7 linked regions of the Macaca mulatta genome follow. The protein of the gene in region 1 purifies or fractionates together with the protein of each later gene. This does not show direct contact. Links are inferred from orthologs where the notes say so. Each region holds a gene or a part of one and is shown in the gene's direction. Other genes may lie near its edges.

What was found.
Region 2: the proteins of CDC5L (region 1) and RBMX purify together in Homo sapiens (affinity purification with mass spectrometry; 3 studies listed by BioGRID and IntAct, with this or other methods). This does not show direct contact. The link is inferred for Macaca mulatta from reciprocal best matches to the Homo sapiens genes CDC5L and RBMX.
Region 3: the proteins of CDC5L (region 1) and RPA1 purify together in Homo sapiens (affinity purification with mass spectrometry; 3 studies listed by BioGRID, with this or other methods). This does not show direct contact. The link is inferred for Macaca mulatta from reciprocal best matches to the Homo sapiens genes CDC5L and RPA1.
Region 4: the proteins of CDC5L (region 1) and BZW1 purify together in Homo sapiens (affinity purification with mass spectrometry; 3 studies listed by BioGRID and IntAct, with this or other methods). This does not show direct contact. The link is inferred for Macaca mulatta from reciprocal best matches to the Homo sapiens genes CDC5L and BZW1.
Region 5: the proteins of CDC5L (region 1) and TOP2A purify together in Homo sapiens (affinity purification with mass spectrometry; 3 studies listed by BioGRID, with this or other methods). This does not show direct contact. The link is inferred for Macaca mulatta from reciprocal best matches to the Homo sapiens genes CDC5L and TOP2A.
Region 6: the proteins of CDC5L (region 1) and GCN1 purify together in Homo sapiens (affinity purification with mass spectrometry; 3 studies listed by BioGRID and IntAct, with this or other methods). This does not show direct contact. The link is inferred for Macaca mulatta from reciprocal best matches to the Homo sapiens genes CDC5L and GCN1.
Region 7: the proteins of CDC5L (region 1) and SF3B2 purify together in Homo sapiens (affinity purification with mass spectrometry; 3 studies listed by BioGRID and IntAct, with this or other methods). This does not show direct contact. The link is inferred for Macaca mulatta from reciprocal best matches to the Homo sapiens genes CDC5L and SF3B2.

The regions. Positions count from the first base shown.
Region 1 is NC_133409.1:137,702,461-137,706,698, reverse strand, and holds part of CDC5L (cell division cycle 5-like protein), read left to right. Parts: intron 1-2,064; coding exon 2,065-2,209; intron 2,210-4,166; coding exon 4,167-4,238.
Region 2 is NC_133426.1:143,215,805-143,219,087, reverse strand, and holds the end of RBMX (RNA-binding motif protein, X chromosome), read left to right. Parts: intron 1-231; coding exon 232-346; intron 347-434; coding exon 435-560; intron 561-647; coding exon 648-730; intron 731-1,366; coding exon 1,367-1,677; 3' UTR 1,678-2,433; downstream 2,434-3,283.
Region 3 is NC_133421.1:3,377,017-3,382,021, forward strand, and holds the start of RPA1 (replication protein A 70 kDa DNA-binding subunit), read left to right. Parts: upstream 1-1,767; 5' UTR 1,768-1,856; coding exon 1,857-1,889; exon of another isoform or gene 1,890-1,897; intron 1,898-5,005. UniProt on the Homo sapiens protein: As part of the heterotrimeric replication protein A complex (RPA/RP-A), binds and stabilizes single-stranded DNA intermediates that form during DNA replication or upon DNA stress.
Region 4 is NC_133417.1:105,914,933-105,919,170, forward strand, and holds part of BZW1 (eIF5-mimic protein 2), read left to right. Parts: intron 1-1,369; coding exon 1,370-1,546; intron 1,547-1,695; coding exon 1,696-1,790; intron 1,791-2,353; coding exon 2,354-2,419; intron 2,420-3,123; coding exon 3,124-3,259; intron 3,260-3,985; coding exon 3,986-4,095; intron 4,096-4,220; coding exon 4,221-4,238. UniProt on the Homo sapiens protein: Translation initiation regulator which represses repeat-associated non-AUG (RAN) initiated translation probably by acting as a competitive inhibitor of eukaryotic translation initiation factor 5 (EIF5) function.
Region 5 is NC_133421.1:64,783,902-64,788,139, reverse strand, and holds part of TOP2A (DNA topoisomerase 2-alpha), read left to right. Parts: intron 1-879; coding exon 880-972; intron 973-1,580; coding exon 1,581-1,695; intron 1,696-1,800; coding exon 1,801-1,922; intron 1,923-3,023; coding exon 3,024-3,172; intron 3,173-4,238. UniProt on the Homo sapiens protein: Key decatenating enzyme that alters DNA topology by binding to two double-stranded DNA molecules, generating a double-stranded break in one of the strands, passing the intact strand through the broken strand, and religating the broken strand.
Region 6 is NC_133416.1:127,488,932-127,493,739, reverse strand, and holds the start of GCN1 (stalled ribosome sensor GCN1), read left to right. Parts: upstream 1-1,770; 5' UTR 1,771-1,786; coding exon 1,787-1,804; intron 1,805-4,808. UniProt on the Homo sapiens protein: Ribosome collision sensor that plays a key role in the RNF14-RNF25 translation quality control pathway, a pathway that takes place when a ribosome has stalled during translation, and which promotes ubiquitination and degradation of translation factors on stalled ribosomes.
Region 7 is NC_133419.1:8,353,352-8,357,589, reverse strand, and holds part of SF3B2 (splicing factor 3B subunit 2), read left to right. Parts: intron 1-104; coding exon 105-320; intron 321-476; coding exon 477-614; intron 615-790; coding exon 791-871; intron 872-1,057; coding exon 1,058-1,285; intron 1,286-1,840; coding exon 1,841-1,990; intron 1,991-3,267; coding exon 3,268-3,357; intron 3,358-3,469; coding exon 3,470-3,577; intron 3,578-4,238. UniProt on the Homo sapiens protein: Component of the 17S U2 SnRNP complex of the spliceosome, a large ribonucleoprotein complex that removes introns from transcribed pre-mRNAs.

The DNA.
Region 1 (4,238 bases):
TAGCTAGGCCTTCAGGTGCACACCACCACACCTAGATAATTTTTTTTTTTATTTTGTAGGGTGGGATCTCCTTTTATTGTCCAGACTGGTCTCAAACTCCTGGGCTCAAGCGATCCTCCTTAAAGTGTTGGGATTATAGGCATCAGTTACTGTGCCTGGTCTAGATTTTTATTAGTACAATGTGGCCTACATATGGTTTTATTTATTTAATGGATTCATCTTTCTGAGAAAATCAGGGACTCTGGCTATCATGTTTTTAGCACAGAATGCTGTTTATGGCTCTTAAGTTGAAGTGCGTGACTCTTAATTGACTGTTTACTCTTTGAATCACTTCTTAACTTTTAGGTACTTTTATGAATAGGTTAGTTTCACTGGTGGCTGGAATCTGTCAAAATTGAGTCTGGTTTTTTTAGTCTTTAAAAAAATTTGGTTTTTTTTTTAAGACAAGGCCTCACTCTATCACCCAGGCTAGAGTACAGTGACATGATCACAGCTCACTGTATCTTCCACCTCCCAGGCTCAAGTGATCCTTCCACCTCAACCTCCCAAGTAGCTGGGACTACAGATGTGTGCCACCATGACTGGCTAATTTTTTATTTTTTGTAGAGAGGTGGGTCTTGCCATATTATCCATGCTGGCCTTAAACTCCTAGGCTCAAACTGTCCTCCCTTTGCCTCTCTCACAAAGTATTGGGATTACAGGCGTGAGTCACCACGCCTGGCCCTTTTAGTCTTTTCTAGTGAAAAATTTTGTTTTTATTAAGATGAAATTAAAAGAAAAAACTACTGATCCTTTCACTTGATGGGATAGATACACTTTTATAAAATCTTTATGTTTTAGAAGATAGCAGATTTTCCCTATTTCTTGAGAATTTTAGTTTCTTTAAATCTCATATCTGAATATTGTAGGGAAAGTATTTTATGGTTGTCAAGGATTTTTAAAAGTTTTCTGCTCTGTTGACCTTTAATTTCTGTTGATATGAATTGTTACAAAACAACAGCTATCGGCCATTGTAAAATAGGATTTTCTTAGATGTACTCCATTGTATTTATTCCTCAAATTAGGACTTTGCTTTAGGTAGGCTGTACAAGTAAAGAGACGGAACAGGAAAACTATTGATTTGGAAGGAGTACTAAGTGGGGGAGGCAAGAAAGACGCAGAAGGGGAGGAGGTATTCCTGGAGCTTTGAAAGACTGCTTCGAGCCTGTCTTTAGGCGTCTTAATCATGTTTAGATGTTGCTTGTCAGTATTAAAACAGCCTTTTTAAAAAACTTGTGAATTTTAAGAATCATGACAATTTAGTAAGTTTTAAAGGGAAATTTAAATACTATATTTTAATATTATTTCTTTCATACACATTGTCCTTTTTACATACTTGTCATACTTTTTCCTATGTGCACACACATTTTCATTGAATGTTCATAATATAGGAATAGTTTTTCTTTTGACATTATGTGGAATGTTTTGCTTATCACAGTCTTCATACTTATATGTTTTAATATTTAGTACTTCAATTACTTAGGGTATGTTATTAATAATTTTATTGCTATTCTGAGTTTGCTTTTATCTTGAATATAGTAAGTAATGGTGTAGGGGACCACTTAATGCATATTGTTTTTGCCTTTTTTTAGTTCTTTTCTTTTCTTTTCTTTTTTTTTTTTGAGATGGAGTCTTTCTCTATCGCCCAGGCTGGAGTATAGTGGCAGGATCTCAGCTCACTGCAACCTCCACCTCCCAGGTTCTAGTGATTCCCCTGCCTCAGCCTCCGAGTAGCTGGGATTACAGGCACACGCCACTACGCCTGGCTAATTTTTGTATTTTTAGTAGAGACGAGATTTCGCCATGTTGGCCTGGCTGGTCTCGCACTCCTGACCTCAGGTAATCCACCCACCTTGGCCTCCCAAAGTGTTGGGATTACAGGCGTGAGCCCCTGCACCCGGCTTTTTTAGTTATTTTCTTAGAAATGAGGTTGGTTTGTTCAAAGGGTATGAGTATTTGTATGAATTTTAATGTTTTTGCCTATATGTAACTTACAAATGTCTTTTCTACCTTGATCCATGACAGTGAAAAAGAAGGAAGAGATAGAAAAAAAGACAAACAGCATTTGAAAAGGAAAAAAGAATCTGATTTACCATCAGCTATTCTTCAAACTAGTGGTGTTTCTGAATTTACTAAAAAGAGAAGCAAACTAGTACTTCCTGCCCCTCAGGTAATCTGATAAAAGCAAATTTTTCACTATGTGAATTTATATGCTTATATCATTTATTCAGCAAATGTTTGAAGGCCTGTGTGCCAGGTTTGTGCTGGATGCTCTTAAGAAATTCACAGTTTAATGGGTAAGACACACATAAAAACAAGTAATTGTGGGCTGGCTGCGGTGGCTCACGCCTGTTATTTTAGCACTTTGGGAGACCAGGATGGGCAGATAACCTGAGGTCAGGAGTTCAAGACAACAGGAGTTCCTGCCCAGTGTGGTGAAACCCTGTCTCTACTGAAAATACAAAAATTAGCTGGGCGTGGTGGCACACACCTGTAATCCCAGCTACTCAGGAGGCTGAGGCGGGAGAATCACTGGAACCCTGGAGGTGGAGGTCGCAGTGAGCCAAGATCGTGCCTCCGCACTCCAGCCTGGGTGACAGAGTGAGACTCTGTCTAAAAAAAAAAAAAAAGAAAAAGAAAAACCCACAAGTAATTGTGATATAGTATGATAAGATAGCTTCAGCTTCTCTGTATAAATTATTGTATCAGGTCTTAAACTGCTCATATGATGGTTTGGTAAGTAATCGTCAGCTCTTAACATTTTGTCAACAGGTTAGGATTTTAGGCTTCTTTTTTGTAGCTGACAAGGGTAAAGGTGTGGTTTGGCTTTGTGGACTTTAAGCTACCTTCTCCCAGGGAGTGTTTTGTTGTGTTTTGCTTGTCTTTTTTGAGACAACAGTTACGAAAATCAATGTAGGAGTTGTGGAGAAAAGATACAAACATTCTTTCATTCAGCTTGTTACAGGCTGTTTTCTTTTTACTTATTCTAGTTGATCAGAAACATGGGACCTTAGAGTAACCTTTTTTTTTTTTTAATGAAACTGAGTCTCGCTCTGTCGCCAGGTTGGAGTACAGTGGCGCCATCTAGGCTCACTGCAACCTCTGCCTTCCGGGTTCGAGTGATTCTCCTGCCTCAGTCTTCTAAGTAGCTGGGACTACAGGCGTGCGCCACCATGCCCAGCTAATTTTTGTGTTTTTAGTAGAGACAGGGTTTCACCATATTGGCCAGGATGGTCTCGATTTCTTGACCTCATGATCTACTTGCCTCGGCCTCCCAAAGTGCTGGGATTACAGGTGTGAGCCACTGTGCCTAGCTAACCTTCTTTTTTTTCTGTTTTGAGTAGTACAGCTTTGTAGAATTGGACAGATTTAATGGTGCAGAAGAAAGGACTTAGGAGACCAGAAGAACTCTTTCCCCCTGTGAGCACATTGGCTGCATCAACACAAGATTCTTGGGCATAAACTAATTTTGTCGTATCCTGACATTCCTAGTGGGGATATTTATTAAATTGAAATTTTGTCTTTAATTTTTTTCTTAGTACACCTTAGGATATTTATTTTGGTAAAATTACTAACACAACACCTTTAGATTTTCTTAGGGATCTTGTGGCTCACTGGAGTATTTCTGTGTGATATTTTAATTGGTTTTCAGTCTTCCTCCTCCAATTTTGTATAAATACTGCTATTTTACATTCTTGGTACATTGATACGTTGATTTGAAAGAATTTCAGTATAGAGATACAGCCTTTGTAGCTTGATTTTATATCAAATGTGAATTTTCCCCTCACATTCTGTAAGGAAGACTTTCTAAAGCTATATTATGGAAACTTTCAAAGCCACAAAAAAGATGAGTACTACCGAGAACCCCTGATACTAATCACACAGCTTTAGCAATTCGTTTTTCTGGAATGTGGAAATTTAAAGATGTGTCAGCTCTCAGTTAAAATAGGGTTTTTTTTTTTTTTTTTTTTTAAAAGACAGTTTTGCTGTGTTGCCCAGGTTGGTCCCGAACTCCTGGGCTCAAACAGTTTGCCCTCCTCGGCCTCCCAGAGTGTTGGGATTACAAGTGTGAGCCACTGTGCCCGGCCTCAGTTAAAATGTTGCTTACTATAATTGTGTCCTTTTAGATTTCAGATGCAGAACTCCAGGAAGTTGTAAAAGTAGGCCAAGCGAGTGAAATTGCACGTCAAACTGCCGAG
Region 2 (3,283 bases), on another chromosome or scaffold:
CAAAAAAAAAAAAAAAAAATTTTGGTCATGTGTTCTAGGTGATCTAGATAAATGGAATTAGCACTGAAAAAAATTTAAAATGTGAATCGGAAATTCTAGAAAAAATGAGATGATCTAGCCTCCGTAATGTCATCTTTGAAGTCAGTCTCGTTTTCATAGCCTGAATGTAAGTTCACGTTTTAACTTCTTTCTCTGACTGTGTTTAAAAAAAGTGATGTAATTTTCCTTAAGCTCCTGTATCACGTGGAAGAGATAGTTACGGAGGTCCACCTCGAAGGGAGCCACTGCCCTCTCGTAGAGATGTTTATTTGTCCCCAAGAGATGATGGGTATTCTACTAAAGACAGGTAATAGAAAATTGCAGCTTTTTAAATTAATAATTAAGGTTGAAGGAAAGCTTATCAAAAGCATGAACCAAAACTTTTGTGTTTGTAGCTATTCAAGCAGAGATTACCCAAGTTCTCGTGATACTAGAGATTATGCACCACCACCACGAGATTATACTTACCGTGATTATGGTCATTCCAGTTCACGTGATGACTATCCATCAAGAGGCTATAGGTAAGTGACTGCTTCTGTGGCTTGCATGTAAGAAAAGTTGCTATAAAAGTTGATGCTCTGGGACTTAAAGGTTTCTCTTTAATTTAGCGATAGAGATGGATATGGTCGTGATCGTGACTATTCAGATCATCCAAGTGGAGGTTCCTACAGAGATTCATATGAGAGTTATGGTAAGATACTGGTTAAGGGTCTTGAGTATCACCAGCTTGAGTTTTTAGGTTCGTGAGCCAGTTTTTTAGGCTGCGTGGTGCTTGCTTTTTAAAGGGATGTTTGCTTGCTTTTAAAGGGGTAACTTTATCAGCTGGGCTTTTCCTAGTTTTGTGAGGGGCTTTTTTTTTGTTTTTCTAAGTTTCTTTTGAGGCTGTTTGCTTGCTTTGGAGGGGATTTTGCTTGCTTAAATTGGCAGCCTTATGTGTTTTCCCCCAACAGTGAAAATACAATTTAAAAATTTTATTAACAAGATCAAATATTTACCATTGCAATATGAAGGCAAGTTCTACAGTTCAAAATTGCAACTTATCACTGGAAAGTGGCTGAGTGTCTACTATAAAATAACAAGCTCTCTGGAATATCCTCTTGAAATACACACCGTCTTCAGTCTTTTCAAACAAACATTAAAATGAATCCATTTCCATATCTCAGCAGATGAGCAAATCCCTGTTATGGCCAGCAATGGCAGAGTTTAAAACCTCCCACCCAGTTGAGAAAGTAAACTTTTAATACAAGAATTCTGTAAATTCAGATTTAAAATGTTGTATATATACAATTTATAGTGTTGCCATATTACCTGACCATTGACCCTGCAGGTAACTCACGTAGTGCTCCACCTACACGAGGGCCCCCGCCATCTTATGGTGGAAGCAGTCGCTATGATGATTACAGCAGCTCACGTGACGGATATGGTGGAAGTCGAGACAGTTACTCAAGCAGCCGAAGTGATCTCTACTCAAGTGGTCGTGATCGGGTTGGCAGACAAGACAGAGGGCTTCCCCCTTCTATGGAAAGGGGGTACCCTCCTCCACGTGATTCCTACAGCAGTTCAAGCCGCGGAGCACCAAGAGGTGGTGGCCGTGGAGGAAGCCGATCTGATAGAGGGGGAGGCAGAAGCAGATACTAGAAACAAACAAAACTTTGGACCAAAATCCCAGTTCAAAGAAACAAAAAGTGGAAACTATTCTGTCATAACTACCCAAGGACTACTAAAAGGAAAAATTGTGTTACATTTTTTAAATGCCCTGTTAAGTTTCCCTCCATAATTTTTATGTTCTTGTGAGGCAAAAAGTAAAACATGTTTAATTTTATTTGACTTTATGACATTGCTTTTCAACAAGCAAATGTTCTTGTGAGGCAAAAAGTAAAACATGTTTAATTTTATTTGACTTTATGACATTGCTTTTCAACAAGCAAATGTTAAATGTGTTAAGACTTGTACTAGTGTTGCAACTTTCCAAGTAAAAGTATCCCTAAAGGCCACTTCCTATCTTGATTTTTCCCAGTAAATGAGGCAAGCAATTCTAAGATCTTCCACAGAACATCTAGCCATCTAAAATGGAGAGATGAATCATTCTACCTATACAAACAAGCTAGCTACTAGAGGGTGGTTGGGGTATGCTACTTATAAGATTTCAGGGTGTCTTCCAACTGAAATCTCAATGTTCTCAGTATGAAAAACCTGAAATCACATGCCTGTGTAAGGAAAGTGCTATTCACCCAGTAAACCCAAAAAAGCAAATGGATAATGCTGGCCATTTTGCCTTTCTCACATTTCCTTGGGAATCTGCAAGAACCTCCCCTTTCCCCTCCCCCAATAAGACCATTTAAGTGTGTGTTAAACAACTACAGAATACTAAATAAAAAGTTTGGCCAAAACCAACCATGAAGCTGCAAAGGTGCTTGCTCTTACTGTTTCAAATTTTTGCAACTCTGTAGTGTCTCACTTTTAAAGGAACAGCTTGATTGCAAAGGAGAAAATAGATAAGCAATGAAGTTATCTCCAACTTCCTAAAGGCTTATGACTTCTAAAAAGTGAATCTATCAGCATTCCACATCAGATTTAAAGCATCAAATGCCTGTGAAACAGCAAAGATGGTAAGCAAAGCAAACTAGTTTTTCCGTCTAAGTCGAAATTGAACACTTACCTTCCTCATAGTACAGTGAAACATACTGTACCTCAAGGCAATGGAAATGCCTTCTAGATTAAAAAAACTTTTGGAGAAAAGAAATATTCAATAGCATATTAGAAGTCTTCCAAATTCAACACTTGGATTCTTTTTTTTTTTTTTAAGCATGTATGACACTTAAAGGCTTTATTAATAAAGCTGTTGTTTACCAATGGCGATCTGGGGCTTGGGAGGGGGTATTTTTTTCAAAGTCCATTTTTGATGAAGACCTTTAAACATGCTTCATATGTTTTAACATTTTTTTCAAATTAGTCTTTTAGTCAATATAGGAAATGGCTTAAGTTTGGGGTCCCCCTTTTTACCCCTGTAAGCCATTGCAAACTTGACATTTAGTTGGATGCCTGACTTGTTTTTAGTTCTATGAAACTACACTGTATGGAGAAAATCTATTGCAAGTGGTCTTTAAAAAGCAAAACCTGAGGCACCATGACCCAGGTCCAGCCATGAAGTTGAAAAAGATGCTCTTGAATATAGTAAACTTGAAGACCTCCAACTAAAAATCCTTATACTGCACTTATTCCTTCAAATAAGTTTTGTTCGTTC
Region 3 (5,005 bases), on another chromosome or scaffold:
AGTCTCAGCTACTCTGGAGGCTGAAGCAAGAGAATCACTTGACTGGGGAGGCCAAGGTTGCAGTGAGCTGAGATCACACCATTGCACTCCAACCTAGGCAACAGAGGGAGACTCTGTGTCAAAAAAAAAAAAGGAAAATCAAGATTTCATTCAAGGAAGCCTAAAGCAATAAAATCAATTCTTGTGGTCTTTTCCTCTAGTTTACATGCTAAGGAAAGATCTATATTCTCTCACAGCAATTCACTCAACATCCTTCCATTCAGAAATATTTACTGAAAGACTACTTTGTGACAGGCACCATGCAGGTGATGGTTATACAAAGAGGAAGCAGACTAGATAGCTATCATCCGTGTCCTCTTAGTGTTTTTTTTTGTGCGTGAGACAGTCTTGCTCTGTCCCCCAGGCTGGAGCGCTGTGGCACGATCTCGGCTCACTGCACCCTCTGCCTCCCAGGTTCAAACAATTCTCCTGCCTCAGCCTCGGAGTAGCTGGGATTACGGAGTGCGCCACTACTCTTGGCTAATTCTTGTAGTTTTAGTAGAGATGGGGTTTCACCATGTTGACCAGGCTGGTCTCGAACTCCTGACCTCAGGTGATCCTCCAGCCTGGGTCTCCCAAAGCGCTGGGATTACAAGTGTGAGCCACCGCGCCCGGCCTGATCCCCCTAGTTTCTCAAGTCTGAAACCTGAGACACTTCCCCAGATTTTTCTTTCTCACCCACCCCAGCAACTATTCAATTAACAGGTATTTCTCTCTCTCATATAGTTCAGCGTTCTCTTTCAACCCCCAGGTCATTCCTTCGGTTTAAGTCCTCACCATCTCGTCTGGCATTCTTCCTAGAGTGTCATAATTAGTGTCCATGCCATTGGCACCCCCCCCAACTTTCAATCCAGCCTCCAACACTGAGACAGAAGTCAGTGCTCTGCCTTAAATTCATCAACGCTACTCCAAGCATATCAGGAAGCCCAGGACAAAACCGTCCTTACTTGACCCTTGGCTGACTTTCTAATTCTCAGGTCTCACTTGTTCCTCTGCAGCCTTGCATACTGAACTACTCATTGCGATCCCCGGCTTGCCAGGCTATTTCATCTCTCCAAGGTTTTGGCAGAGGCTATTCGTGCTTTCCGGACCAATCCTACCCTGGCTTATGGAGTCCACCTGGAAAATTCCCACAGGTTCGTTCTTCGACTCGGTTCAAACGGCACGTCCTCTGGGAAGGCTTCCCTGATTTCCAACACTCTTGGGGCCTGTACCACGTCTACCTGGCGCTGGGGCTACTCACGGCATAAAGTGCCCCCACACACTGTCCTCTTCTCCACGGACAGGGACCAGGTCTGATTCCCCTTCGGAGACCCCCCCCTCAACGGTGCCAAGCTCAGGGTTTGGCCCCGGTCGAGAAGTCAGCCCCGCGTTGCTGGAGGAACCGGGTCACTGCTGCGACTCCATTTAGCAGCTGAGGTCTCAGGGAACAGCTTTAACCTCCTCTGGGCTACCAACCCGTGCACTGGCCAGAAACCGAGGCGAGAAAGCCTCGTGAGCCCGCTCACAGGCGCCCGGAACTGGGCCGCGGACTCCCTCCCCGCGCCCGCGCAGCTCCTGGCGCGCCCCTCGGCGCCCCGCCCCGCGCCCCGTGTTCCGCGCCAGGCCTCCTTTGGGCCCGCGAGCAAGTCACGTGCGCCGCGCCTCGGCCAATGTGGCGGCTGCGCAGCGCCCGGGCCCGCCCCTGGGCCGCGCGCACGTCGGGGGCGGGAGCGGCGCACGCAACTCCTCGGGCCAATAACTGCGCAGCGCGCGGGACCCCGGTGGGGAAGCTCCAGCTGTCGCGGGGTCCGCGCGGGAGTCGGGGCGGCGGAGCCATGGTCGGCCAACTGAGCGAGGGGGCCATTGCGGTGAGGAGGTGCCGGGGGCCGGGCCGGCGGTGCGGGTGGCTGCGGCCCCGAGCCTCGCGGAGTGGAGAGGGGGAGGGGAGCCCGGGGCGACGGGGGATGAACGCGAGGGGAGGAGAAGGCGGGGGGCGGTGGGGACTCGCCGAGCCCCCGTGTAGTGTCATCACCCCCTCCTCAAAGCATTCTTCTGATCGTCTTTGAAACACGCTCACGTTTTTCCTACTTAAGAACAAAGTAAATAAACGCTTGCCTTTTTCTGGATCTTTCACCTGCGGCCACTTTCTGTTTCTTCTCCTTTCCTGCCCCGCAGCCAAACTTCTTGTCTGGTTTCAGCCACTTCCTTTCTTCGCCTCTCATCAACTCTTTAACCCACTCCAGGCATCCCCTTGATCGCTGTAGAAAACCCTGGCTCAAGGGACCAGTGTCCTCCAAGTTGCTAAATCCAGCCCTTTTCCGTTTTCAGCTTACCTGAGTTCTCAGCAGCGTTTGCTTTTGAGCCCTGCTTCTTCTGCTCACGCCCTCTTCCTTGGGTTTTAGTGGCTCAGCTTGGCGGGTCTATCCCCGTCTTATTTGCAGGCCCCTCTTTGTAAATTTTTGTTGACTCAAGGCTCCCTCTAGGCCCTCTTGACTCCCAAAGGCAATTTCTTTTTTTTTTTTTTCTTCCAGCCTGGGCGACACTCACTGTGTGAGTGTCACACTGTGTCGCCCAGGCTGGAGTGCAGTGGCGCGATCTCGGCTCACTGCAACCTCCGTCTCCCGGGTTCAAGCGATTCTCCTGCCTCAGTCTCCCGAGTAGCTGGGACTACATGTGTGCGCCACCACACTTGGCTACTTTTTTGTGTTTTTATTAGAGACAGGGTTTCATCATGTTGGCCGGGCTGATCTCGAACTCCAGACCTCCATTGTGTCGCCCGCCTCGGCCTCCCAAAATGCTGGGATTACAGGCGTGACAAATTTCTTTGTACTGAGCCACCTTTACTCTAAAAGACAAACTTCTATAATCTATCTGCTTATTCCATGCTTCAGAGGCTTTTAAGTTCAATATACATATCCCAAAGCAAATTCGTTATCTTTCTAAGTCTGGGCCTCTTGATCCCTATCTCCACGAATGGTACCATTATCTGTTCAATTCAGTGCTAACCAGAGATTGAGAAATCATTCCTCCTACATTGTCCATCACCTGGGCGTCCAGTTCCTCACCAAGCGAAGTGTATTGTACCTCCGCGTAGATCTACCAAGCCCACCGGCTTCTTTCCATCCATACTGGCACCATCTTTTTTTTTTTTTTTTTTGCCTGGGCTGTTCACTTCCACTCAGCATACGTTCCTGCCACCATTCCCATCCACAGCATACTCTCAGCCTACTCTCCAGTCACCCCCACATTTTTTTTTACATTTAGATTTCTGGTATTTTTCATACTCCTCCCTTCTTCCATGGGGCATTTGAACATTTTTTTTTTGAGACGGAGTCTCGCACTGTCGCCCAGGCGCCCAGGCTGGAGTGCAATGGCAGGATCTCGGCTCACTGCAAGCTCCACCTCCCGGGTTCACGCCATTCTCCTGCCTCAGCCTCCCAAGTAGCTGGGACTACAGGCGCCCGCCACCATGCCCAGCTAATTTTTTGTATTTTTAGTAGAGATGGAGTTTCACCGTGTTAGCCAGGATGGTCTCGATCTCCTGACCTCATGATCCTCCTGCCTCGGCCTCCCAAAGTGCTGGGATTACAGGCATGAGCCACCTCGCCTGGCCGAACATATGTGCCCTTGAGTATTACATTTTGTCGCTTTGTATACTTACTAGGGCTTTTCTTTTTTTTTTTTTTTTTAGACAGGATCTCACTCTGTTGCCCAGGCTAGAGTGCAGAGGCGCGATCTCGGCTCGTGGCAACCTCCACCTCCCGGGTTCTAGCGATTCTTTTGCCTCAGCCTCCCAATTACAGACGTGTGCCACCACGCCCAGCTAATTTTTGTATTTTTAGTAGAGACGAGGTTTTGTCATATTGGTCAGGCTGGTCTTGAACTCCTGTCTTCAAGTGATCTGCCCACCTCGGCCTCCCCAAGTCCTGGGATTACAGACTTGAGCCATTGCACCGGGCCGTAGTCTTTTTTTTTTAAATGACAGTCTCGTTTTTTGTCTCTCAGGCTAGAGTGTAGTGGTACGATCATAGCTCACTGCAACCTCTAACTCCTGGGCTCAAGTGATCCTCCCACCCCAACCTCTCGAGTAGCTGGGACTACAGGTGCATGCCACCGTGCCCAGCTAATTTTTTTTTTTTTAATTTTGTGTAGAGATGGGGTTTCACCATCTTGCCTAAGCTAGTCTCGAACTCTTGGCCTCCAAACAGTTCTCCTGCCTTGCCTCCCAAGTCTTTGGGATTATAGGCATGAGCCACTGTGCCTGGCCTTGTCCCTTAAAACGAGTTATCCATTTGTAAACAGCTGGTTTCTTGGGAGCATTGTCCCCATATACTTTTCTTTCATAAAGCATTGGTGATTTCACCCTTCTTCCACCCAAGCTTCACCTTGAATTTGGTGTTCATTGTTGCTTCCATTTTAGCAGAATTCGTGTTGCTCCCATGGGACTCTTTTCAAATTGATGTCTAATCCTTCTTAGTGCCTCACACTAGATCTTGTTCAGACACGTTATAACAAGTTAGTATGAGTTTATTTCAGTGCAAAATATTTTTGAAATGCATGGATAGTTTTTTCATAATGCACATTTTTCATGTACTTTTTCAATTCCTCTCATATACGCGTGTGGTTTTAAAATCAAACGGAACAGAAAAGTGTTTATGGCCGGGCATGGTGGCTCACATGTGTTAATGTCACTTGGGGAGGCTAAGGCAGGAGGATCCCTTGAGGCCAAGAAGGAGTTTGATACCAGGCTGGGCAGCATAGCAAGATCCTGTCTCTATTTCATTTATAAAGAAGAAAGAAAGAGGTGTTTAATGTAATTACTGACCTTCTGCCCTACCTTGTCCACTTCTATTCCACAGAAATAACTGCTTTTTAGAAAAATCACTGTCATTGACATTTCACTTACATATAGTAAATTGTACCTTTTTTTTTTTTTAAGCAGAGTCTCCTGTTGCCCAGGCTGGAGTGTAGTGGTGCACTGTCA
Region 4 (4,238 bases), on another chromosome or scaffold:
CCACTACATCCGGCTAGTTTTTTGTATTTTTTTTTTTAGTAGAGACGGGGTTTCACTGTGTTAGCCAGGATGGTCTCGATTTCCTGACCTTATGATCCGCCCGCCTCGGGCTCCTAGAGTGCTGGGATTACAGGTGTGAGCCACCACGCCCGACCTTAGTTGGTAAATTTTCTTAAGGAGCAGTTGTAAACTAGAACAGTTTGACAGTAAAATGGGAAAGTGTATCTCTTGAATATGTGGATTACTGATGTTGCCTTGATATAAATAATAGCAAGTAGCTTTATCATTATTATTATTATTAGCATTGGGGGAGATGTCGCTTCCCCAGTTCCAGATACAGATCATTCATGGCCTGGCTGTTGATGGTTAGGGTACTGGGTAGGGTATACAGCAATCCCTGTCTGGGACTGAGGGAGTTTCCAGACACAAGACTTTCAGTGCTAAAACCAGGAAAGTGCTGGACACACAGAGGTATTTGTCACCCTAGTACTGTGTGAAAATTAAGATACCATCTAGCCTAGATTGGGAAAGCAAAACCCTATTATGGAGTGTGTGAAAGCAACTCAGTAAAGGTCAGGTATGTGCACAAGGCTATGGTCTGGGAGCTTTCTGTTTTATTAATGTCATGTAGTATTCACAACAGCTTTATGGGATAGCTGTTCTTATCCCCATTTTACAGTAGGGGGATTCTGGCATGGCGAATGAGACTGTTTGCTGGAATTCAAGCGGTTAAATGGTGATCAGGATTTGAATCAGGCAGTTTAACTCCAGAGCCCATGCTCTGAACTACTACACAACACAGTATCATCTCTCGATTACCTAATTTCTCTCTCAGTTTTCCTTCTGAATAATAGGAAAAATCTGCCTCACAAAGTTGTTAACAGGATTAAAGTAAATGCTTAATATAGTTTCTGTCATATTGGGTGTTCATTAAATGTACTTTGTAAAGCTCACCTTCATAAATGCCAAAGGAGTGGTTCAATTTTTTTGTTGTTTATTGTTATGAACATTTAAAGAAAAGGATCAAGAGCTCCAGTGTCCAGGGAAAACTGAAAGTAATAAAATTTATCTGTTAGAGGATGGCCTAAATTTTGGAAAAGCCAAGAGGCAGTAGGAGGGCATTCCCAGTAGAAATTGCCTCATGGCAGTAGGAGCACAAGACACTAGCACATTTAGCTCACTTGTGAAATTGTTTGAAAAGTTGCACAGTTCTTGTGAGTGGGCCATCTTGTCTTGCACTTGCAGAGGGGAAACATGTAAAGGATGTGAATTTAACTTGTTTAACAATTACATCTTCATAAGGTGATAGTTTTGTGACATTTTGGTAAATCTTTTAAAACTAAATGTTTTGGGTCTCCTGTCTCCCCAGATGAAAAAGAGAGGTTTGACCCTACTCAGTTTCAAGACTGTATTATTCAAGGCTTAACTGAAACCGGTACTGATTTGGAAGCAGTAGCTAAGTTTCTTGATGCTTCTGGAGCAAAACTTGATTACCGTCGATATGCAGAAACACTCTTTGACATTCTGGTGGCTGGTGGAATGCTGGGTAAGTGTCTGGGGTTTGTGGGCTTAATAATTTAGAAAGGTATAGTGTATGGAGATTATGGAGACTCTAGAATATGAACTATTTGGCAAACTTGTTAAAATGGAGTGATTTTTTTCCTTGTGTTGTATTTTGATTTTATCCAACTTTAGCCCCAGGTGGTACACTGGCAGATGACATGATGCGTACAGATGTCTGCGTGTTTGCAGCCCAAGAAGACCTAGAGACCATGCAAGCATTTGCTCAGGTAAATGAAACTTAACATAATTGTTTTCAGTTAGCTACTATCCATGTGGTATATTTGAGGAATATTCTACTTTTAAGAGTTGTGGTTAGAAAGTTGAAGGAATTTGATTTTAAATTTTAGGGAGACTGTTCTTGGTGCAACGGGATGAATTAGAAACTTAAGATGTGTTAAGGTGAATAAAATAGGGAAAAATGAAATTAACTCTCCTGTTCCTATTTGTCCTGAAATTACTCAATTTTTAAGAAAAATGTCAAGCTAAAAAAGTCATTTTCGTATTGTGATTTCTCTAGTTTATCTGCATATATTTATTTTTAAAGTTAAATAAGTTGTGAGCTGATTAGCTTTTTAATCAAGATCTCATTGGAAAGTTTCATATGTAGTTATGTTTGTATTATTTTAAGCAAAGAATTAAAGTACATCTAACCTGGACATTCTTATGTGTCACTAGAAATTCTTCTCAAGCTGGTATAAACAGCTCATAAACTTATATCCAGTGAAAGGTTTACTACTTTGCTATTCTAGAAGTATATGAAGTTACTGAATTCATTTCATGTTCTTCATAGGTTTTTAACAAGTTAATCAGGCGCTACAAATACCTGGAGAAAGGTTTTGAAGATGAAGTAAAAAAGGTATGAGGAATAAGGTACTTTGTGGAAAAGAAAAAAATAGGGTTAGAAGGAGGGAATGTTAAATCCTAATTCTCCCACAGATTTGGGGTAATTTTGTTTGGTTGGTTGGTTGGTTTTTTGGAGTGTCACTCTGTTTCCCAGGCTGGGAGTGCAGTGGCTCAGTCTCTGCTCACTGCAGCCTTCGCCTGCTGGGTTCAAGCAATTCTCGTTCCTTAGCCTCCTGAGTAGCTGGGATTACAGGCATGTACCACCATGCCTGGCTAATTTTCTATTTTTAGTAGAGACAGGGTTTCACCGTGTTGGCTAGGCTGGCCTTGAACTTCTGGCCTCAAGTTATCTGCCCTCGGCCTCCCAAAGTGCTAGGATTATCGGCATGAGCCAGCACGCCTGGCCCAATATTGCATATAGATGCCCAGAAAACCTGATGCGTTTATCAATGACCAGGCACTGTTCGATACTAATTCACTTAATGTTTATAAAAACCCTGTGAGGCAAGTTTTATCATCCACATTTTACATGTGAGGTGCAGAGGTTGAGTAACTTGCCGATCATTCAGCTAATGAGTATTGTAGCTTAGATGTAAACTTGGATGGTTAGATCCCAGAGCCCACGTGTTGAACCAGTAGCCAGTGTAACATGCTTTACTGTTTCTCTTAATGTAATGTAATTGCTGTTTTAACCCTTAACTGTTTTACTTTTTACAGCTGCTGCTGTTCTTAAAGGGTTTTTCAGAGTCGGAGAGGAACAAGCTGGCTATGTTGACTGGTGTTCTTCTGGCTAATGGAACACTTAATGCGTCCATTCTTAATAGCCTTTATAATGAGAATTTGGTTAAAGAAGGTAATCAACCTTAAAGGATGGTCTTTAGTTGACTCAGAGTGGGGTGGGTAAGAGCATGGTTTACTGTTCATAGATGTGACTTCTGTGAAAGTCTTCGTTTATTAACCAGCCTTAAATTTAATAAGTTCAGTCTAATTCACTAGACATTTAATGAATACCTTTGGCATCCAGGTTTAATGGTTTTCTTTAGGAATACAATAGATAACCAGATTTAGACAAAATGTTGTTACATGTAATGCGAATACAATGAGAAATGTTGTGGGAACTCCAGAAGAGATTAATACCAATAGGGAGACTTGGAGAAAATGATGTTGGGGAAAATGTCAAGCTGGAAGGGAAAATCAACTCCCTGTTTGGCTCCAATTGTCAGATTATTCTGTACAGTAATTTTTTTTTTGAAGCTTTTTTTAAACTGCTTACAGTAGTATTTAAGTTGCCTTAGTGTAATTCTCACAACAGCCTTGTCAAGTGTAGAGACTATTGCCCTCAATTTATACTTTAGAAAACACTTTAAGTAACTTGGCCAAGAATATACAATTCGCAAATGGTGTAGACTAGGGAAATTGGAGAAGTGATAAAACTGTGGCCCAGGAAAGTTCAGGGTTAAGTTTGTGAGGAAAGTCCGTAATCCCATGTGATTGAAGTATGAAGGGAAGGATATAGAGGGGGATACAGTGATTGAAACCAGGAAGGTACTTCTGTTAAGTAAGCTATTTTCTTTTACAGGAGTTTCAGCAGCTTTTGCTGTAAAGCTCTTTAAATCATGGATAAACGAAAAAGATATCAATGCAGTAGCTGCAAGTCTTCGGAAAGTCAGCATGGATAACAGACTGATGGTTTGTAACTTTTCTTCCCATTCTTGCCAGCAGGTGTAAATGAGAGAAATTTCTCATTTTAAGACTGAAAAGAAAGTGTTAAATCTGATTTAAAGAAAGTTTAACCAGATAAATTCTTCTTTTAGGAACTCTTTCCTGCCAAT
Region 5 (4,238 bases), on another chromosome or scaffold:
CAGCACTTTAGAAGGCTAAGGTGGGTGGATCACAACGTCAGGAGATTGAGACTATCCAGGCTAACACAGTGAAACCCTGTCTCTACTAAAAATACAAAAGAAAAAACAAAACAAAGCAAAAAAAAACATTGGCCAGGCGAGGTGGCGGGCGCCTGTAGTCCCAGCTACTCTGGAGGCTGAGGCAGGAGAATGGTGCAAACCCGGGAGGCGGAGCTTGCAGTGAGCCGAGATTGCGCCACTCACTGCACCCCAGCCTGGGCGACAGAGCAAGACTACGTCTCAAAAAAAAAAAAAAAGAAAAGAAAGGTCGGGCGCAGTGGCCCACGCCTATAATCCTAGCACTTTGGGAGGCCGAGGCAGGCGGATCACCTGAGCTTGGGAGTTCGAGACCAGCCTCACCAACATGGAGAAACCCCGTCTCTACTAAAAATACAAAAAATTATCCAGGCGTGGTGGGGCGCGCCTGTACCCCAGCTACACGGGAGGCTGAGGCAGGAGAATCACTTGAACCCGGGAGGTGGAGATTGTGGTGAGCCGAAATCGCACCATTGCATTCCAGCCTGGGCAACAAGAGTGAAACTCTGTTTCAAAAAAATACAAAAATACAAAAATTAGCTGGGCGTGGTGGCAGGCAACTATAATCCCAGGGGCTGGTGAGGCTGAGGCAGGAGAATCGCTTGAACCTAGGTGGCGGAGGTTGCAGTGATCCGAGATGATACCATTGCACTCCAGCCTGGGCAAGACAGCAGTAACTGTCTCAAAAAAAAAAAAAGGAAAACAGGATTTTTGTTGTTTTTCTGTTGTTTGTTCCTTCTTTGTAGAAGGATATTTTGGAGCCTATTAGTATCACTGACATCTTTTTCATCCTTTAATTTATAGGCCTTTAGCAAAAAACAGATAGATGATCGAAAGGAATGGTTAACTAATTTCATGGAGGATAGAAGACAACGAAAGTTACTTGGACTTCCTGAGGTAAAAGTATTAAATATATCCCACAGAATGGACTGTTAGACTGACCTTTTTGTATTGATACTATAGCAAATTAAACTTACTGAATAGTTATTTTAGTAAAAAATTTGATATGATAGAATTGTGCAGCAGTTAAATTTGCTTTATCTTTAAAACATAAAATATTTATGTATTATTCAATATTTCTTTAAGACTTGGCCGGGCGCGGTGGCTCAAGCCTGTAATCCCAGCACTTTGGGAGGCCGAGACGGGCGGATCACGAGGTCAGGAGATCGAGACCATCCTGGCTAACATGGTGAAACCCCGTCTCTACTAAAAATACAAAAAACTAGCCGGGCGTGGTGGCGGGCGCCTGTAGTCCCAGCTACTCGGAGGCTGAGGCAGGAGAATGGCGTGAACCTGGGAGGCGGAGCTTGCAGTGAGCCGAGATCACGCCACTGCACTCCAGCCTAGGTGACAGAGCGAGACTCCGTCTCAAAAAAAAAAAAAAAAAAAAAAAAAAGACTTAAGAATTACAGAAATAATTCTTAGTTCTGAAAGGTTTCTGTTTGATTTTTGTGTTGAGCATTGTTAAGACTGGTGGTCTCATGTAATACTATTTGGTCCTTCAGGATTACTTGTATGGACAAACTACCACATATCTGACATATAATGACTTCATCAACAAGGAACTTATCTTGTTCTCAAATTCTGATAACGAGAGATCTATCCCTTCTATGGTGGATGGTGAGTTCCAATTTGTTCGTCTGTTTTCATTGTAAGATGGAAATCAAATTCCAAAAATGGTTAAATTGAAGATACTTATGTTTTTGCTCTTATTTCATTTTAAAGGTTTGAAACCAGGTCAGAGAAAGGTTTTGTTTACTTGCTTCAAACGGAATGACAAGCGAGAGGTAAAGGTTGCCCAGTTAGCTGGATCAGTGGCTGAAATGTCTTCTTATCATCATGGTGAGGTAAACATACAATCCATGTTTCCAGAAAGCATTATGTCAGAAATCCCTGCAGAGTCATTCTCAAAATAGATTTGGTGAAAGTATAAGCTCATATATTCATAGTAAAGAACAAGTTGGTAAAATCTGTCAAACAATAAAACTGCTTGCTCTTTGATTTCTGAAAGTAGTATTCCTGCAGGGATACTCATAAGTCTGCAAAGGTCTACATTAAAAGATACTTAGTATGTTTATTATAACTTTGTGATGTCAAAATTTAGACCTCCACTGATTTGAAAATTGTTATAATAAATTGTGACACATGTATGCATAGAATCAGTGCTATAGCTTCAGTAAAACTGTGTACACTGACACTGAGGAATATTCATGGTCTATTGTCAGGTGAGGAGAAAAAGAGGCAGAACAATAACTAAAAAGGTCTACAAGGATATGTTCCAAATTGTTCACTTTAGTTACCCCTGGGAATTGGAAAAGGCAACTTTCACTTTTTATATGTGTCTGAATTGTTTGACTTTACACCAATGTTTTCTGATTGCTTTTTGCATTAATTAGGTAAAACAGTTTTAAAGCACTAGATTGCCTACAGGTTTCTAGAATTTTAAATATAATGGTTGTCTTGTTGCTTTCAATCAAAATATAGTAGGGATACAATAAATTTTCACCCAACGAACATTTGTTGAATGCCTACCATGTACCAGGTATACAAAGATAAATAAAAATAAAATATGTTCCTTATCCCCAAGATATAACAATTTAGCCAGAGGGCCAATACACACACAGCTATAGAATAAAGTGATACATGCTAGAATAGAAATGAGCACAGCATTGTAACACAAAGGAGGAAGTATTTCGTTTTGCTGGGGATAAGGAGAGGAGCTATGCCTTCAAAGTTGAGTGGGACTTAGTAGAAATTGTTGGACGGCAGCCCTAAACTTGGAGCCAGAAGTTGTAGGTTCAAGTACTACTTCTGCCATCTATTAATCTGAGGAAAGTCACTAAACAACTAAACCTCACAAAATGTTACAGGATTATAGTGAGATTAAGTCATAATAATGTATTTGTATTAGTAAAAGCCTCAACTTAATGAATCTTTTTTCCCCACAGATGTCACTAATGATGACCATTATCAATTTGGCTCAGAATTTTGTGGGTAGCAATAATCTGAACCTCTTGCAGCCCATTGGTCAGTTTGGTACCAGGCTACATGGTGGCAAGGATTCCGCTAGTCCACGATACATCTTCACAATGCTCAGGTAGGTATGCTTTCACTTTCACCATTCCAGTTTTGAAACAATGTGAGATTTAGTTGACCAAAAAAACAAAAACTCAGTTAATCAGAAGATACTGGCATCTAGTGGGCAGAGGCGGGGGTGAGGCTTATAAATACCCTAACATATACAGGAAAGCCCCGCCATAACAAAAAGAATTATCCAGCGCAACATGTCGATTATGCTAAGGTTGAGAAATCTTGATGTAGAGCTTGGGACTGAGTAAAGGAGTCTGATTCTTCCTAAATATCACAATTGAAATTTTACTCCTATACAAGCCTATGGAAAGTATATTATGAATGGTCAATTTTCAGCTGTCATCCCAGTCACCCTTTCAGTGGCATTCAAACAGTTACTAATCACTCCATCCTTCTTGAAACTATTTGGCCTCTATGACTGTAGACTCTATGACTGTAGACTCTTCTGGTTCTCTCTTTCCTTATTAGCTGTCTCTGCTGGGTCCTTGTCACCTTCCCAACCTCTAAATACTGGCCCATTCTAGGACTCCTTCGTCAGATCTCTTTCCAATATCTCTACACTCAATTCCCAAATGATCTCCCATTCATCTGGTCTATACCTTTAAATCTCCAGTCCTGATCTCTCCCCTGAACTCTCAACTTTTATGTCTGACTGCCCTCTTAACATTTGCCACTTGGATATCTAGTTAAGTATCTCAAACATAAGTCTAAAACCAAATCCTTAGTTTTCCTGTCTCAGTAAATGGAATACCATCCTTCTAACTGCTCAGGCTAAAAACCTTGTCACCTTTGACTCCTTTGCTCGATACTTACGTCCAGTTCCTCAGCCAATCCTATAGGATCTGCATTGGAAAAATACTAAGCCACCCCCATCTCATCTAAACTATTGTAATATACCATTTTATAGCAGCCAATTATTTTTTTAAAAAATAAGTCACTCTGATTCAGAACCTTCAACTGCTCAGAGTAAAATCTAAAGACCTATTTTAGCTAACTAGACATTATGTGATCCGTGTCCCCACCTTCCATATCTTTTGATTCCTTCTCATACCATCTCTTCTCCAGCCACACTG
Region 6 (4,808 bases), on another chromosome or scaffold:
TCCTGGCTTCAAGGAATCCTCCCGCCTCAGCCTCCCAAAGTGCTAGGATTATAGGCTTGAGTCACCGTGTGCCTGGCCCTTAATTTTGAGGCTTTATAGTGCCATATGCTAGAAACCAAAGCCATGGTGAAACCATAGAGCTTTGTATTTAGGTGTTGATGTTTGGGTAACCTCTTTGTATCTAAATGAAGCTACCGGTCAAACATCCTGTATGGTTTTCTAGACACAGTTGTAACTGTATTACACTAGAATTGCTATTTCCATGGCCACTGCAGTAGAGTAGGTTTAGTGCCAGCTGAGATAGGCACCTGGTGGATGCTAGGGCCAGTCCCATAGAGCAGTTTTTCAAACTGGATGGTGCTCCAACTCAGTAGGTGGTGAACAGTTTGTATTTTTGAGACAGTCTCACCCTGTTGCCCAGACTGGGGTGCAGTGGCTTGGTCTTCACTCAATGCAGCCTCCGCCTCCTGGGTTCAAGCGATTCTCCTGCTTCAGCCTCCCAAGACGCTGGAATTACCACAGGCAGCTGCCACCATACCTGGCAATTTTTTTTTTTTTTTTGGTTTTTTTTTTTTTGAGACAGTCTCACTCTGTCACCCAGGCTGGAGCACAATGGCAGTCTCAGCTCACTGCAACCTCTGCCTCCTAGGTTCAAGCTGTTCTCCCACCTCAGCCTCCCAAGTAGCTGGGACTACAGGCATGTGCCATCACACCTGGCTAATTTTTGTATTTTTAGTAGAGACAGGGTTTCACTATGTTGGCCAGGCTGGTCTTGAACTCCTGATCTTGTGATCCGCCTGCCTCGGCCTCCCAAAGTGCTGGGATTACAAGCGTGAGCCGCTGCACCTGGCTTTTTTTTTTTTTTTTTTTTTGGTATTTTTAGTAGAGACAGTAGAGAGTCCTGTTGACAAGGCTGGTCTGGAAATCCTGACATCAGGTTGATCCACCCACTTCAGCCTCCCAAAGTGCTGGGATTGCGGCGTGTGCCACCATGCTTGCCCCCAGTATTTAAAGAGAAAGCATCTGCTGAGAACAGGTGCTTTGTTGTGATTCCTGTATTTCACTTGCAGATCTGTCTGTCGGAACATGGTATGTTCATTCTAACTAGGTCTGTGTCAAAGGTTTGAAAGTCACTGCTAACAGGGCCGACAACTAAGCTGTGAGGACCCTATTCTCTAAATTGCAGCCACATCTGCAAGTAGCCTCCTGCTTCAAAACTCCCAGCCTGGGGCATCCAGCATTTCCCCAGGGCAGGGGCCTCCTTCAGTTCTGAACCTTCCCTGATCTCCGTATCTACCCATGTTTGCTAACCCTGTACAAGTCATCCGTCAACTGAACTACAAACTGAGGACAAAAGACTAGTTCGCTGACTCTTTTACCTAGTTTTTAGTTCCTGCTATCTAGGAAGCAACACTTGTTTTTCTAAAGAACGTAGTCATCCCTCAGGAAAGGCCCATGTAAGGCTGGCCCTGCGGGCTGGAAGTGGGTCAGGGGCTGCAAGGCGGGCTCATAGCGTTACACACGCGGGCTCACCACGTTACAAGCGCTAGTCTCCCACGAGGCGCCTGGGGCTGAAGAGAGGGCCCTGGGGAGGAGGCCTTGTGGCTCCGGCGCGGGCCAACTTCAAGCCCGTGATCCGGCTGCCCGGGCTGCAGCGGCCGCCGTCCCGCCCGGTGGCGCCAACCCGGGGCCCTGCCCCAGCTGTCTACCGGCCTCGCCCTGCCGCGTGGGCCTCGCTGTGACCCGGAAGAGCTCCGGAAGCGGTTCCGGAGTCAGCCCCGGCAGGATGGCGGCGGACACGCAGGTGAGGCGGGCGGCTGCGGGGCCAACGGGGCCAGGGACTGGGTGCGGATGGTGGCCGTCGGGTGGGGCCGCTCTCGCTCCTCGGTTTAGGGGCGCTGGGGGTGGTGGCCGTGGAGGGCGTAGTCTCGGGGCCGTCTCAGGCCGGACTCTCACGGCTGCGGGCTTGGCCCGGCCGGGGCGGCGCAGGCAGACCGCGAGCTCGAGGAGTCCGGGGCTCCCCTCTCGATTTCGGCAGCTGGAGCTCGGCGGGGCCTTTGCCCGACCCCGGAGTTGCAAAAGTTCACTTTACCGAGCCTCTGCTTCTTCTCTCCAAACCCCTCCGCTGTGAGCCCCGGGCCAACGCCAAGTCTTCGTTAAACTTTGTATTCAGCAGATGTTCTTTGAGTGTAGACTTTGGATTCATACAGATCTGGGCTTGAGTTCCTGCTCGTCGATTTCTGTGACATGCAAAACAAGTGGCTTAACCCCGCCAAGTCTGCCTTTGCATCTATAAAATGAGGTTAAAACAATACTTATCTTAAAAGGTTGTTGTGAAGGTTCAGTGAGATAAAATAGGGCTTGATATCAGATACAGGGTTAGTGAAAAGAACTGTGTCCTGCCCAGGAAGAGTCTTGTCACCCTTGAGTGTTACCTGTGGGTACCTTGTACTTCAGGAAGGACTTGGGAAAACCTTTTCCTCCACCCAGTTGTGGTTATGTTTTAAGGTGAAAAGACATTGTTATGGGGCAGGGGAAAAACAGGTGTGTAAAGGACAGCTGGGCTGATTTGGGGTCTCCAGGGTGATGGGATTGATTTTTATGAGTAGGCCCAGAAAATGACCACTTAACTTGAACATTCAAAAAGACATTTATTGAGACTCTGGTATGCGTGCTGAATCCTAGAAAGAAAAGCTTAGTATGAGCGGGTTAGGGGAATACATGCTGAATATTTAACACTGATACTTGAGGAAGAATCTTCTCTAGAGCTGCAATGTCCAGTATGGCAGCCACATGGCTACTTAAGTTTGTTAAAATTAAATGAAATAAAAAAATTCAGTTTTTGGCTGGGCGTGGTGGCTCACCCTGTAATCCCAGCACTTTTGGAGGCCGAGGTGGATGGATCACCCTTGAGGTCAGGAGTTTTCGACCAGCCTGACCTATATGGCAAAACCCTGTCTCTACTAAAAATGCAAAAATTAGCCGGGTGTGGTGGTGCATGTCTGTAATTCCAGCTACTGAGGAGGCTGAGGCATGAGAATCGCTTGAACCGAGAGGCAGAGGTTGCAGTAAGCCAAGATTGCGCCACTGCGCTCCAGCCTGAGCAACAAGAGCGGGGACTCTGTCTCAAAAAAAACAAAAAAAAAATTCGTTCTTCACTTCTACCAGCCACATTTCAGTGCACAGTTAGCTGCATGTAGCCAGTAGCTACTGCATTGGGTGATGCATGATAATGTTTCTGTATTTTATAATTTTTGTATTTTTAGTAGAGGGGGGTTTCTCCATGTTGGCCAGGCTGGTCTCGATCTCCTGACCTCAGGTGATCCTCCCGCCTTGACCTCCCGAAGTGCTGGGATTACAGGCGAGTCACCATGCCCGGCCTGAGATTATTTTATTTTGTTTTTTGAGATGGAATTCCTCTCTAGGCTGGAGTGCAATGGCACAATCTCAACTCACTGCAACCTCCGCCTCCCAGGTTCAGGCAATTCTCCTGCCTCAGCTTCCCGAGTAGCTGGGATTACAGGCATGCGCCACCACGCCCGGCTAATTTTTGTAGTTTTTGTAGAGACAGGTTTCACCATGTTGGGCGGGCTGGTCTCAAAGTTCTGACCTCAAGCAGTCTGCCTGCCTCGGCCTCCCAAAGTGCTGGGATTACAGGCATGAGCCACCGTGCCTGACCTTGTCTTCAGTATTCTAAAGGAAAAGGATTTCAACCTAGAATTCTGTATTTGGCCAGAACATTTTCATACTTGCAAGGAGTTTACAAAATGGAGGATGTGCTTCACCTAAACACAAGAAAGTACATGTTCAGGGTGATAAACTGTGCCCCAGCTGTAGAGGATCACATGCCTAATTGGGGCAGGTCAGAAAACTGGGAGAGATTTCCTTAGGAAGGTGGAATTTGATGGAATACCTGATCTGACTAAATGTACTGAGATTTAGACAAATGGCAAAAAGCTTGGGGTTTAATTATTTATAAGAACAGATTTAGGCCGGGCGCGGTGGCTCAAGCCTGTAATCCCAGCACTTTGGGAGGCCGAGACAGGTGGATCACGAGGTCAGGAGATCGAGACCATCCTGCTGAACACAGTGAAACCCCGTCTCTACTAAAACTACAAAAAACTAGCCGGGCGAGGTGGCGGGCGCCTGTAGTCCCAGCTACTCGGGAGGCTGAGGCAGGAGAATGGCGTGAACCCGGGAGGCGGAGCTTGCAGTGAGCTGAGATCAGGCCACTGCACTCCAACCTGGGCGACAGAGCGAGACTCCGTCTCAAAAAAAAAAAAGAACAGATTAAAAAAAAAAAAAAGGCAAACTGAAGCATGGTGGGAAAGGGTAATTATTAACACCAGGGACATAAAAAAGCTGGGAAGAATAAGAGTTTATTAAATGGATGTTGAATGCCCTTTACATATAATGTAATCACTGACTACTTACCTAGCCTATATCATGAAACTGGGGATTTCCACTGGGGAAATGGGGAGAGTGTGCGATGGGGTCAGAGCAGGAAAGGGAGCTGTGGTGGAAAGGTAGCAAAACTGAAAAATCAAGAAGCTCACGCAAGTTACCTCCATAGTTAGAGATACTTAGATATATGGAGGTAACTACCCAAATACCCACTAGATCAACCTAAGGGTTGTCCATGGAGAGTGAGGGCAAGGGACTGGTTTTTATGGCAGACCTCTCAGAACTTTTTGGTTTTGACTTATGTGTATCTATGACAAAATACTTTTTTTTTTTTTTTTGAGACGGAGTCTTGCTCTGTCGCCCAGGCTGGGGTGCAGTGGTGCGATCTTGGCTCACTGCAACCT
Region 7 (4,238 bases), on another chromosome or scaffold:
CTGACCGTTGAGCTGTGGGGGAGACCGGGGGAGGAGTTTAGGGGTTGGGGTGCTGGCACAGTACTTGGATTCCCTGACCCAGCTGGTTTTCCTCCTCCTGACAGAAAAACCGTAAGCGCAGGAACCGAAAGAAGAAGAAAAAGCCCCAGCGGGTGCGAGGGGTGTCCTCTGAGAGCTCTGGGGACCGGGAGAAAGACTCAACCCGATCCCGTGGCTCTGACTCCCCAGCAGCTGATGTTGAGATTGAGTATGTGACTGAAGAACCTGAAATTTACGAGCCCAACTTTATCTTCTTTAAGAGGATCTTTGAGGCTTTTAAGGTACAAGGAGAGCGTGCTCGGAAGGGGCAGTGCCAAACAGGGAAGGGGCTCAGAGGTGGGTGCGAGGCAGCAGTGAACAGGCATGTTTTTAGTGCTGGCTTTAGGAACTGGGAAGGGGCTCAGAGGGCAGGGGTTTCACCTTGTCTGCCTCCTCAGCTCACTGATGATGTGAAGAAAGAGAAGGAGAAGGAGCCAGAGAAACTTGACAAATTGGAGAACTCTGCAGCCCCCAAGAAGAAGGGATTTGAAGAGGAGCACAAGGACAGTGATGACGACAGCAGTGATGATGAGCAGGTCAGGCCCAACCCTCCTGGTGGGAAGCAGGGACTCTGGGCACAGGTGACTGAGATGCATCCAGAGAGGGACCATGGTGAACACTTGCAGAGCTTTGGGGGCTTAAGTTTGGGGTGAGTTGGGCAGTTTCATTCACATCTGAGTCCTGCTCAAAAGAGGTGATTGTTCTGTTCTAGGAAAAGAAGCCAGAAGCCCCCAAGCTGTCCAAGAAGAAGTTGCGCCGAATGAACCGCTTCACTGTGGCTGAACTCAAGCAGGTAAGCCCTGAGAGTATTCTGCAGGCCCTGGATCCCAGCTGGGAGACCACCTGGGGAGCCAGGGAGGTGAAAAGGAGTTCTTTGAAGGAGGTGTGAGTGATTTGGGTTTAGGTCCTTTGAGGAAGAAGAGCTTCAGAACTGAGAAGTCAGGGCTCTCAAGAACATGCATTACTATGTGTTTTCCAGCTGGTGGCACGGCCCGATGTTGTGGAGATGCACGATGTGACAGCGCAGGACCCTAAGCTCTTGGTTCACCTCAAGGCCACTCGGAACTCCGTGCCTGTGCCACGCCACTGGTGTTTTAAGCGCAAGTACCTGCAGGGCAAACGGGGTATTGAGAAGCCCCCCTTCGAGCTGCCAGACTTCATCAAACGCACAGGCATCCAGGAGATGCGAGAGGCCCTGCAGGAGAAGGTGAGAGCCTGCCCTCGGGTGTCCCCATCCTTCACAGCAGTGTGCTTCAAAATGGGAATATGGGTTGAAACCCACCTACCACCTACTTGTTACTTGTCTAATTATCCTTTTGTTTTCCTTCTCTGCTCTTCTTCCCCTCTGCCTTCACGTTGCCAGCTCACCTGGTGACTCCTTTCTCAGATGCACTTTGTGGCTAGGGATTCATGGTGGTTGTGTAACTTCTTAATTTTAAAGCTTTTAGTTAAATGCTCTGAACTTAGGAGGTACAAAAGAACACGGGGATGTCTCTGCCTTCCAGAGAAATGAGGAGATTCATCTCTTGATGAGATGGTTAAAAACTAGTTATTGATAGACACAGCTGAGGCTGATATTGTGGAGTCTGTTTTGTTCAGCATGCATTATGTAATTTTGAAGGGTTTGAGCAGGAAGGATTTTGGTGACTTTCGGGGTGAGATAATTGAGGCTTCCCTTGATCTCTTTTGGAGTTGGGAGCTGGATTCTCTACATGAATTTGGTGAGTACTTGTTAAGGCTTGTCTTCTGCCATTCTCTACAGGAAGAACAGAAGACCATGAAGTCAAAAATGCGAGAGAAAGTTCGGCCTAAGATGGGCAAAATTGACATCGACTACCAGAAACTGCATGATGCCTTCTTCAAGTGGCAGACCAAGCCAAAGCTGACCATCCATGGGGACCTGTACTATGAGGTTTGGGAGGGGGCTGGGAGAGGTCAGGCCGGGCCTTGGGGTTGAGACTGTCTAGGGCTTTTTTTTTTTGAGACGGAGTCTCGCTCTGTCGCCCAGGCTGGAGTGCACTGGCGCGATCTCCACTCACTGCAAGCTCTGCCTCCTGGGTTCACGCCATTCTCCTGCCTCAGCCTCCTGAGTAGCTGGGACTACAGGCGCCCACCACCTCGCCTGGCTAATTTTTGTATTTTTAGTCGAGACGGGGTTTCACCATGTTAGCCAGGGTGGTCTCGATCTCCTGACCTCGTGATCTGCCCGTCTCGGCCTCCCAAAGTGCTGGGATTACAGGCGTGAGCCACCGCGCTTGGCCTTTTTTTTTTTTTTTTTTTTTTTTTTTTTTAAATATGAGGTCTCACCCGTTACCCAGGCTGGAGTGCAGTGGTATGATCTTGCTTCACTGTAGCCTCTGCCTCCTGGGCTCAAGCAGTCCTCCCATCTCAGCCCCCCGAGTAGCTGGGACCACAGACACACCACACCCAGCTAATTTTTTGTATTTTTGGTAGAGACAGGGTTTTGCTATGTTGCCCAGGCTAGTCTCAAACTCCTGAGCTCAAGTGATCCACCCGCCTCAGCCTCCCAAAGTGCTGGGTTTACAGGCATGAACCACTGCACCTGGCCCAGGAGGGCTTCTGAAGCAATTACAATAGTTCCTCAGCCTTAGAATTGCCCATTGACTACCCTTGGATGAGATGGAATTTAAATTGAGGTCCTATTTGGAGGAGAGATGCAGATCTGGTGGCTTCTTTCCCTGATAGACTCTTCATATCCTGTCTTAGAAGTGATAATGATGGTGGGTGGTTTAGGGATGGAGGGGCCAAGGGACAGTTGCTTTTAGGAAACTTTTAATATTGGGGGTGGTAGAGAAGTTGGTATTTTTTTTTCCTGATCCTTGAAATCGTAGTCCCCTTGATGTCATGGAATTTATGAGGTGGAAGAATTTTGCAGATCATCCTGTCGAGTGCCCTCGTTTTACAGATGAGAAGGCAGGTCCTAACGTTGGCTGTGTTCTCATAGTGGGTTATTGACAGCACTGGGAGTCTGGCCTGGTTTTTATTCCTTCCCCGACTTTGGCCAGGGAAAGAAGTGATGAGAATCAGAGTGGGAGCCAGGTAGCCCTCACTGGGATTTTATATCTGATGTGGGTTAGGTCTTCTCGCCTTTGTTTTCACGTCCTCTTGCCATTGTGCTCCCACTGAGTGTCTGGGTCTGCAATGTAGCATGCTCTGTTTTTCCCTCAGGGGAAGGAGTTCGAGACACGACTGAAGGAGAAGAAGCCAGGAGATCTGTCTGATGAGCTAAGGATTTCCTTGGGGATGCCAGTAGGACCAGTGAGTGTCAGTTAGCTGTCTGGGGAAGCAGCGAAGTGGGTGGGGATTGGAGCGGAAGGCAGTGACAGGGATACGGTTTGGCAGATGGTATCCTGTTCTCTTTTTCCTGCAGAATGCCCACAAGGTCCCTCCCCCATGGCTGATTGCCATGCAGCGATACGGACCACCCCCATCGTATCCCAACCTGAAAATCCCTGGGCTGAACTCTCCCATCCCTGAGGTGAGCATTGTCCTTTCATTCATTCTTGGCTGTTTCTGCTTTTGAACTGGAAGGTGATTTTTTTGTTTTCCTTCTCTAACTCCACCATGTGTTTCTTTATTTAAAAAAATTTTTATTGACACATAATATTTGTCATATACCATGGGTATGTGTGGAAAAAACAAGTAATGGTTTTTGTTTTTTAAAAAACTGACATGCTCATCATAAAATATTCAGTCAGAATTGACAAGTACAAAGATGAAAGCAAGTCACAATTTTACCACTCAGAAATAGCCAAATTCACTATTTGGTGAATGTGTTTCCAGATATGTCTCTGAATATAAGAATGGCCAGAGAGAAATAATTTTATCTTAGCCAGATGTGGTGTCTCAACACCTGTAATCCCAGCACTTTGGGAGGCTGAGGTGGGAGGATCCCTTGGGGCCAGGAGTTTAAGACTAGCCTGGGCAACATAGTGAAACCGCATCTCTACTTTAAAAAAAAAAAAAAGAAAAGAAATAATTTTTTTTTTTTAGTTTCACTTCAATCTATCAGAAATAATTTTATCTCAAGAATGTCTTCAAATTTATTCTTATTTTAAAGTAATCATTAAAAAAATTGACAGATAAGAGTCATTAAAGTAAAAAAGTAGTATTGTTAAACTTTAGATAGAAACTTCCGC